2 linked regions of the Bombyx mori genome follow. The protein of the gene in region 1 purifies or fractionates together with the protein of each later gene. This does not show direct contact. Links are inferred from orthologs where the notes say so. Each region holds a gene or a part of one and is shown in the gene's direction. Other genes may lie near its edges. The genes, in order: probable tyrosyl-DNA phosphodiesterase and DNA repair protein XRCC1.

What was found.
Region 2: the proteins of probable tyrosyl-DNA phosphodiesterase (region 1) and DNA repair protein XRCC1 purify together in Homo sapiens (affinity purification with mass spectrometry; 4 studies listed by BioGRID and IntAct, with this or other methods). This does not show direct contact. The link is inferred for Bombyx mori from reciprocal best matches to the Homo sapiens genes TDP1 and XRCC1.

The regions. Positions count from the first base shown.
Region 1 is NC_085130.1:17,794,513-17,797,722, forward strand, and holds the end of probable tyrosyl-DNA phosphodiesterase, read left to right. Parts: coding exon 1-91; intron 92-171; coding exon 172-271; intron 272-1,055; coding exon 1,056-1,266; intron 1,267-2,098; coding exon 2,099-2,221; 3' UTR 2,222-2,399; downstream 2,400-3,210. UniProt on the Homo sapiens protein: DNA repair enzyme that can remove a variety of covalent adducts from DNA through hydrolysis of a 3'-phosphodiester bond, giving rise to DNA with a free 3' phosphate.
Region 2 is NC_085124.1:497,699-502,301, reverse strand, and holds the start of DNA repair protein XRCC1, read left to right. Parts: upstream 1-1,601; 5' UTR 1,602-2,054; coding exon 2,055-2,105; intron 2,106-3,285; coding exon 3,286-3,396; intron 3,397-3,709; coding exon 3,710-3,796; intron 3,797-4,155; coding exon 4,156-4,323; intron 4,324-4,603. Other genes in the region: uncharacterized protein LOC101737274, read left to right, coding at 1-563. UniProt on the Homo sapiens protein: Scaffold protein involved in DNA single-strand break repair by mediating the assembly of DNA break repair protein complexes. Negatively regulates ADP-ribosyltransferase activity of PARP1 during base-excision repair in order to prevent excessive PARP1 activity.

The DNA.
Region 1 (3,210 bases):
GGAGATTTCCTTCACAACTTCACGAAAATCAAGAACCAATCGCAGATGTTGTCGTCTCCGCCTACTTTGAAACTGATTTATCCATCTTTAGGTAAGATAATCGTTTTCATAGGAATCGATATGGATATGTATCGAGTAATTGTTATGCTAAATATTGTTTTATGTTTACAGAAAACGTCAAACAATCTCACGACGATTTGTTAGGAGGCGGTTGCTTGCCTTACGCAGCCGAAGCGCATTCGAAACAACCTTGGCTAAATAGCTTTTTATAGTGAGCATATCATTATTAACCTTCTCATAATTCATGCCCCCCTAGTACCACAATCTATAATTAATCGAAAATAACTTGATAAAATTATAAAACTTCTTTTAATTAATTAATTTAATTATAAAGAGTTAGTGTTTTGCTTTTCTAGGGAGACGAACGAGCATACGACTCACCTGTTGATGAGTGGTCATTATTCGTTAAGTTACTTCTTCTTCTTCTTAATTTTGGCTCGGCACGTTAAGTTACTTTATTGCGGCGATTGTAGGATCGGTAAGATTGGATCTTATGCCTCTTATGGCAGGACGTGTGGAATGGGAGTTTTAAGGTGTGAGTGAGAGGAGATGTTAGAAAGGGACGGAAGTAGGAAACAAGATGGCGTAGATGATTCAGTAAACTGTATGAAAAGCTAAACCTGTGCATCAAAGTCTTATTTACCCGTCACGATCCTAATTCTACATGTTTGTTGGCGCGGAACGAACTTAATAGATTTTGAAGTAAAACTTCTTTACGTATGCTTGACTTGGGGACTAAGCTGGTGGATGCGTGACGATAGCGTTACGAAAAGTGTGATTGGGCGAGGCGAACGGAAGTTGAGAGGGAAATATAAGTTAGTGAATATAGAAAGAGAGAGAGAGAGGGGTGCAAGCACACATTTTCTTTCCCTCTTTCTCTTATAGCCTTTCTCGTATAATTAAGACACATTGCAGGCCTTTTCTCCGGTTGATGCACTCAAACAAAATGTTGACAGTGAATATTGACACCGGTAACCGTGTGGGACCATTTGCAGTCAATGGCGAGCTGCGTCCACGAATCGAAACCGGGCGATGCCCCACATAAAGTCCTACACCCGGGTGTCGAAGGACGGCAGGAAGGCAGCGTACTACCTGCTCACGTCGGGGAACGTCAGCAAGGCGGCCTGGGGCTCGACGAACAAAGGAAACGGAGCGCTCAGGATAATGAGTTACGAAGCCGGCGTGCTGTTCCTGCCAAAGTTCATTGTGAGTTTAGACATACTTCTTCATTGTTATGTTCTCCTGGTACATTTTTGGAATATTAACTTTTCTTTACGCATACCTCTGCGATGCTGTGCTCTCCTGATTGCATGTTTTATTTCGTAGTCGGATTTTAAAGTCCATTTTGATGTTAAGTGGTCATCGGAGTCCGTAGATTGAATTTCGTCTCAATCAATGACCTACGATGCTGACGTATTGTTCTTATTATAAAGTTCGTTGTGGGAGTTGAAGTGCATACTTCTTCATCGTTATGTTTTCCTGGTACATTTCTTTGAACATGTTTCGTTTTTATACGTATGTGTATGTATGTATGTATACCTCTTCGTTGCTATGGTCTCCTGGTTATATGTTTTATTGTGTGGTGGGATATTAAAGCCCATTTTGATGTTAAGTGGTCATCGGTGTCCATAGATTTATTGTTGTCTCCATCCTTGAGATAAGAGGTCGAAATGTGGTCCAATTTGTTGCTTCGACTATCACAAATGTAATAATTATTTATTTACACTTGTTTTTACAATTTTAATAAAATATTTGGTATAGACATGGTATGTGATTAAAGTGACATTTACACATTGACATATTGCGCTTACAATTTCTGACTTTCATGAGCCACGGTTATCATTCAGTGTCAGGTGGGACTTTCACTCGTCTTCCAACAAAGGCAATAAAGAAATCTTTTTTAGCTTAAATTTACACATCAAACTTTGCAAGACTTCTTTATCTTTATGTTATCCTAGTACTTACGTATTAGATTCAATATGTTGTTTGCTCTGCCTGTTTATGCCAATTTACACCAGAAATGCCTTTTTTTGCACAGACCAACGAAGATTACTTCTGTCTAGAACAAAACGCCCCGAACCGGCTTATCGTGCCATACGACTTACCGCCAGTCAAATATACGGATGGCATGTCGCCCTGGGTCTCTGATTACCTCATGTGAAGAAGTAGAAGAAGATTACATCATGATTGACTTGAAGACTCGACACTAGAGGCGCGCTCTCAAATTTCAATTCGATCCTAAAACACAGGAAATGGAAATCGATTTCAGAATTAAAAAAAAAGTACACTAGTGTCGAGAAACAGATTTGGTTTTTGTTCAATAAAATAATTGGTGTTTATTTATTTCTATTTTATTTATTGCATTAGTGTGCAGGTGGTTTGATGGTTAGTTACCCTAATTCATGACGCCAGGACAATGCCAAGCACCCGTCTGAGGAATCTCGCCAAATCTGAAGGTCATGTGGTCATCATCATCATAATCGGTTGCTCTTGGCAGAGCAGTCGTGGTCATGTGGAATTCTTGCTCATTAAAGCCTTAACAGATGTTTTCCACAGTTTGCGAACCGAGGCCCGGCGCACACACTCGTTAAGTGGGGTTTCAGTAAGGTCTTCCATCTAATCATGTGGTAGTGCTCTGGAAACACCGTGGTGAGGGATCATGCCAGAGCGGGAAGGTTCTTGGAAACAAGGTCTCTGGAGACGCAATGTGGATGAACGTAGTCCTATTATGTGAGAGTAATGGTAAAAGTAAGTCGTATGGTCGACTGTCCCTGACTAAAATCACATGTGGAGATCTAGATGCTGATATACATACATACATCATTTATACATCTATAATCTATACTAATACTAATAATATTATAAAGAGGAAAGATTTGTTTGTTTGTTTGTTTCGAATAGGCTCCGAAGCTACTGGACCGATTTGAAAAATTCTTTTTCCATTAGAAGCCGACATTGTCCCTGATGAACATAGGCTACTTTTTAAAAAAAAAATTTTTTTTTGTTTGTTTCATGTGTGTTTTAATGTTTCCGAAGCGCAGCGAGGGCGGGTCGCTAGTAATATTATAAAGAGGAAAAATTTGTTTGTTTGTTTGTATTGAATAGGCTCTGAAACTACTGAACCGATTTGAAAAATTCTTTCACTGTTTG
Region 2 (4,603 bases), on another chromosome or scaffold:
CCAACAGAGACCTCCATCACTCCGCGTCCAAACATCATTCGGCTTACTCCAAGCCGAGCTACCATACTCATTACAGTACACCTTCGTTCTCCTCGTCACAATACAACAGACCTTCTCAGGGAAATTCTTTCTATGGGAAAACGTTCTCTTCGTCTGACTTCTCTTCCCTTACGTCACCAGACTTCTCCAAGCTCTACTTTCCTACACACACAAGACCATCTTTCGTGGAATACCCACAAACATCTTTCTCTCATAAAGAGTATCCACGTCCGCGTCCTTACGAATATCCCACTTACGCTGAATCTACGCTCTCTGCTGAGACGGACCTTGGACGTTTATATTCATCATCCGTTCCATACTCGTACCTAAAATCTCATCACAATTCATATGATTCAAGCCAAGAGTCGTCTCCGACGATATTGTACGCTCAGCCTACAGCGCTCGGAGGATATTCTTACCACAAAAAACCTACCAAGAAACGAAAGATACTGCCAAAGAAAAAAATTCCTACGGAATCACCCGTCATCATACGCGTGCACAAACACAGGATAACGAGAAGCTAATATTATTTAAATTACTTAATTTATAAATAGTGATGAGATTTATTTAGTTTCGTAACAGTCTGATACCAATGTAAATAAATTTACATTTATTGACCTTAGCTAGTTTAAGGCGTTTTAAATGTGTGCATATTTTAAAAAATAATTTATAACTTTTGATTGTAACGTACCTAGACAGAAAAAAAACTAGGTTACGACTTATGCTCGGCTTATTCAATTGTTATGTCAATCTACTAAGTCTACAACTTTAGCACATAGCTCGTAAATATCTATTTATGAAATAAAATAAATGGAATAATAATATCATTATCCTCTTGATATAGAAAAACTAAAAAGTTCCACTCCACATACTGTAACGCAAATATGTTATAAATTTTACTTTCATCGCCAATGCCGATTAAAAACAATCGGAAGTGGAAGAGTGAAGAGGAGTCGCGTGAGTCCGACGCAGTCACGGACGGGAGCCCGCGCCTCGCGTGCTTGAAATGATATTGTTCACTTTTATCATTTACAATATTATTAATGTCGTTCTGACAAAAGTCATTTATTCAATATATAATAATAATAATTTAATATACAATAATTTAATAATAATATTTTTATTTATTTATTCAAATTAGTTTATTCACGCGCCTAAATTTTATTTCGTTTTTATATTAGATAGACAAGACCTGATATTAAGTGGTTAGGGGAACCTGTAGATATAACAACGTGCATGCCACATCAGGTCAAAGTCTAATAATTTTCACAGCTTTTATTAGACTTAAACGTAAGTTTCCCATTACAAAAACCTAAATTCTAATAAAATATCAAAGAATAAAGTAAGAAGGAAATGCAAAATAAGATGCGAATTAAAATTTATTGTGTACTTAACGAGTAACGACCTACGAGTAACCATAGACTACACGCATAATATAATAAACGAGTATCTATCAAACAAAAGTTTCTCCTTGTTTTTTCTTTATAAATTGCATTTGGCTTTCGTTAATATACCGTTATTTATACATTGAAGCACAGATAATAAATTACTATTAAGCCTATTCATTAATATTATTACACGTTTAAACACAGAACAGCCACGCTTAAACGCGTTTAAACTAAATCTATCTTTTCAATAAAGTAAAAAGCATACCTTCTGTCCTCATTAAACCTATCAATCGAAGCAATAACATCATTATCATCACTTTTTATGTCACAAACATGGCTTGGGGCTTTTCGTTTAAATGATTTGGCTGTATGAGGTAAATCCACGATACCGGTCCGACGGATGAAGAAAAAAAAATTCAATGTTTTCTAAACAATATTAATAATTTAATTTCGATTTTCGACCGAATTTAACGAACCAACTATAAATTATTAAAAATTTTTTTTTTTTTTAAATAACTCATCATAAGTGACCGTTTATTGTTAATGTGCGTTAAGGGTAAAACAATTATCTTTATCAAGTACTATAGGGCCAAATTATTACATGTTCCTAAATAAAGGTGTATCGCTATGCCGCGCGTGAAAATTGATTACGTCGTTAGCTTCAGCAGCGAGGATCCTGTAAGTTTTGATATTAATCATAATCTAACCTATTAATTGACAAAAACCAATGAGTGATATTGAAACCGTAGTTGAATTTTTAAATTTTGCTTGAAACATGCCTACCTGATCGTAAGTGATTGTTCCCGGATGATAAATTACTAAGCCCTACCCACCGCCCACCACGAAGCACGGGATTGTAACGATATGATGATGACAGTAAGCCAGGTCATCGGATATTTTTAAATAATGTATACCTTTGTCGTATTCAAAATGCACCAAACTAGTCTCACTTTATAAACCAGGCCTCTCTCTTTAGCCATTTAAATTGAACTATATGAGGAATGTTGATGAACTCATTTGGATCCAAATTAATGTTATGTGGCTGTTTTTAAACTCGATTTATAGAAGAAACCGCAACTGCTCGATACATCTACCTTCTGCCCGGAGTAATCGTATAGTAAAAATCAAACCAGCAAAATTATAATTTGCGTAATTACTGGTAGGTACCACCACCCTGCTTACTTCTGCAGTTAAGCAGTAATGTGTTTCAGTTTGAACGGTGGGGCAGTGGTTGTACTATAAAAACTGAGACTTTAGAACTCATCTCTCAAGGTAGGTAGCGACATTTACATTGCACATGTCTATGGGTTCCAATAACCACTAAAACCAAGTGGGCTGTGAGCTCGTCCCCCCATCTAAGCTATAAATAAATAAAGAACTAACACAGTAACAGTAACAAAAAAATACTACACAATGGCATCCATGTCATATAGACAAAAGTCAATTTCATATATTTGATCACAGCAAAGTATGAATGGGAATCAAGAGTTGAAAATAAAGTTATCATAAATGTAATGGAAAGTTATTTTGTACTTAATGAGCATGCAGTAGAACCCTAATTAATAAAAATATAGTACAGTTTTATTAATTTAAATTCAAAAATTTCTAAGCCATATAATTTTTTTTTTTCTAAGCCCACATAATATCAATGTTATTAGACTACATCTTACCCCTGGTAACCTGCTGCTTTAGTGTTTACTTACAACTATACCACAATTCAATTCTTTTATTTGGGGTCTGGAGATACTTATTTTCATCTCAAATGTGTTCTGCCATCCATAACACAGGAGAAAAAAAGGGTTTGGGTAATGTTCTTTGTAACATGTATAGCATAATAGTATCTTTGCTTCTCTACCAGGATCACCCAGCTAACAATCTGTTGGCATTGGAAGTGAACAAGAAGAAATGGCTGTGCTGCAAGGGAGAGTCTTCCTGCTCAGTCGTACTTCAGCTGGCCAAGGCAGTCCAGGCAAGCTCTTAACAAACATGATCTATTAAAATCTTAAATTTTTTCATATTTGTAATTTTGATATACAAACCTACGATACAAAAAGGGCATGCTGAAATGTAAATCTGGTCTATAGTTCTATACCTTGTTCTAAATCACTCTTTTCTATAGTTTTTGTATATTTTGATTATTTGTACTCGGAAATGGGTTTCTTTGTGGATATAATAATGATATATCAATAGACAATAGTCAAGATAGTTTTCTTATATAGTGTATGACTTCAACTTTCCTCAAGTAAACCTGGCAAAAAAACCAATAACATCTTAAAAATCAGATATCATCAGTCTATCTTGGTGTGCATCATGCTGCTACTGTGGAGGTGCTCGTTGGAAGATCTGAAAAACCTGATGAACCCTTTGAGGTATGTTTACTCAACTGTTAGGGAACTTTGCATTAGGGGTCTTGTAATTGATGAATATCTAGGATGCTTAGGAGGGAACAGTTTCAAATATGGAGGCTTCTAAAATAATAGTGTACTTTGGAATCACTAAAAAGGTTACATTCAAAAATGTAGCTTTACTCTGGTTATCATCATATCTGAAGATGTCAACAAATGTCTTCACCATGAATAACAGGGTCTATAATTTTATATAAGAATAAAAATAGGATTGAAAAACTCAAGGGATCATGTAGGGCATATCCCGGCACCCGGCTGCTTCTGCTGCCCGTCGCTTTCAAACATAGATATTGACAGTGGAGTGACCGGAGAGACATGCTCAGGTACTGGTCCCCAGCAGCGTGATGTTGTCGCCCAGCGAGTCCCGGCGCGCCGAGGGCGTGCAGCGCGTGCGGGCGTGGCGCGGCGACCAGCTGGCGGCCGCGGCCCGGGGGCGCCGCTGGGACCGCCTGCGGGTCGTGTGCGCGCAGCCCTACAACAGGCACTGCCAGGTACCATGCGCCCCGGTTGCCCTAATAACTATCTATCTAACTAATATTTTATAAGTAATATATAATAAGTATTAAACACTACTAAAACCCGCGGTCATGAGGATCGCTAATAGTAAAACATAATTAAATTTTTTAAACATCATTAAAATAACGTAGGGTAGGACGTCCTCCTGCTAGATAAAGTGACGACCTGCGCAAGGCAGCTGGCAGTAACTGGATGCGTAGAACCGAATATCGGGTTCAGTGGCGAGTTTTGGGGGAGGCCTATGTCCAGCAGTGG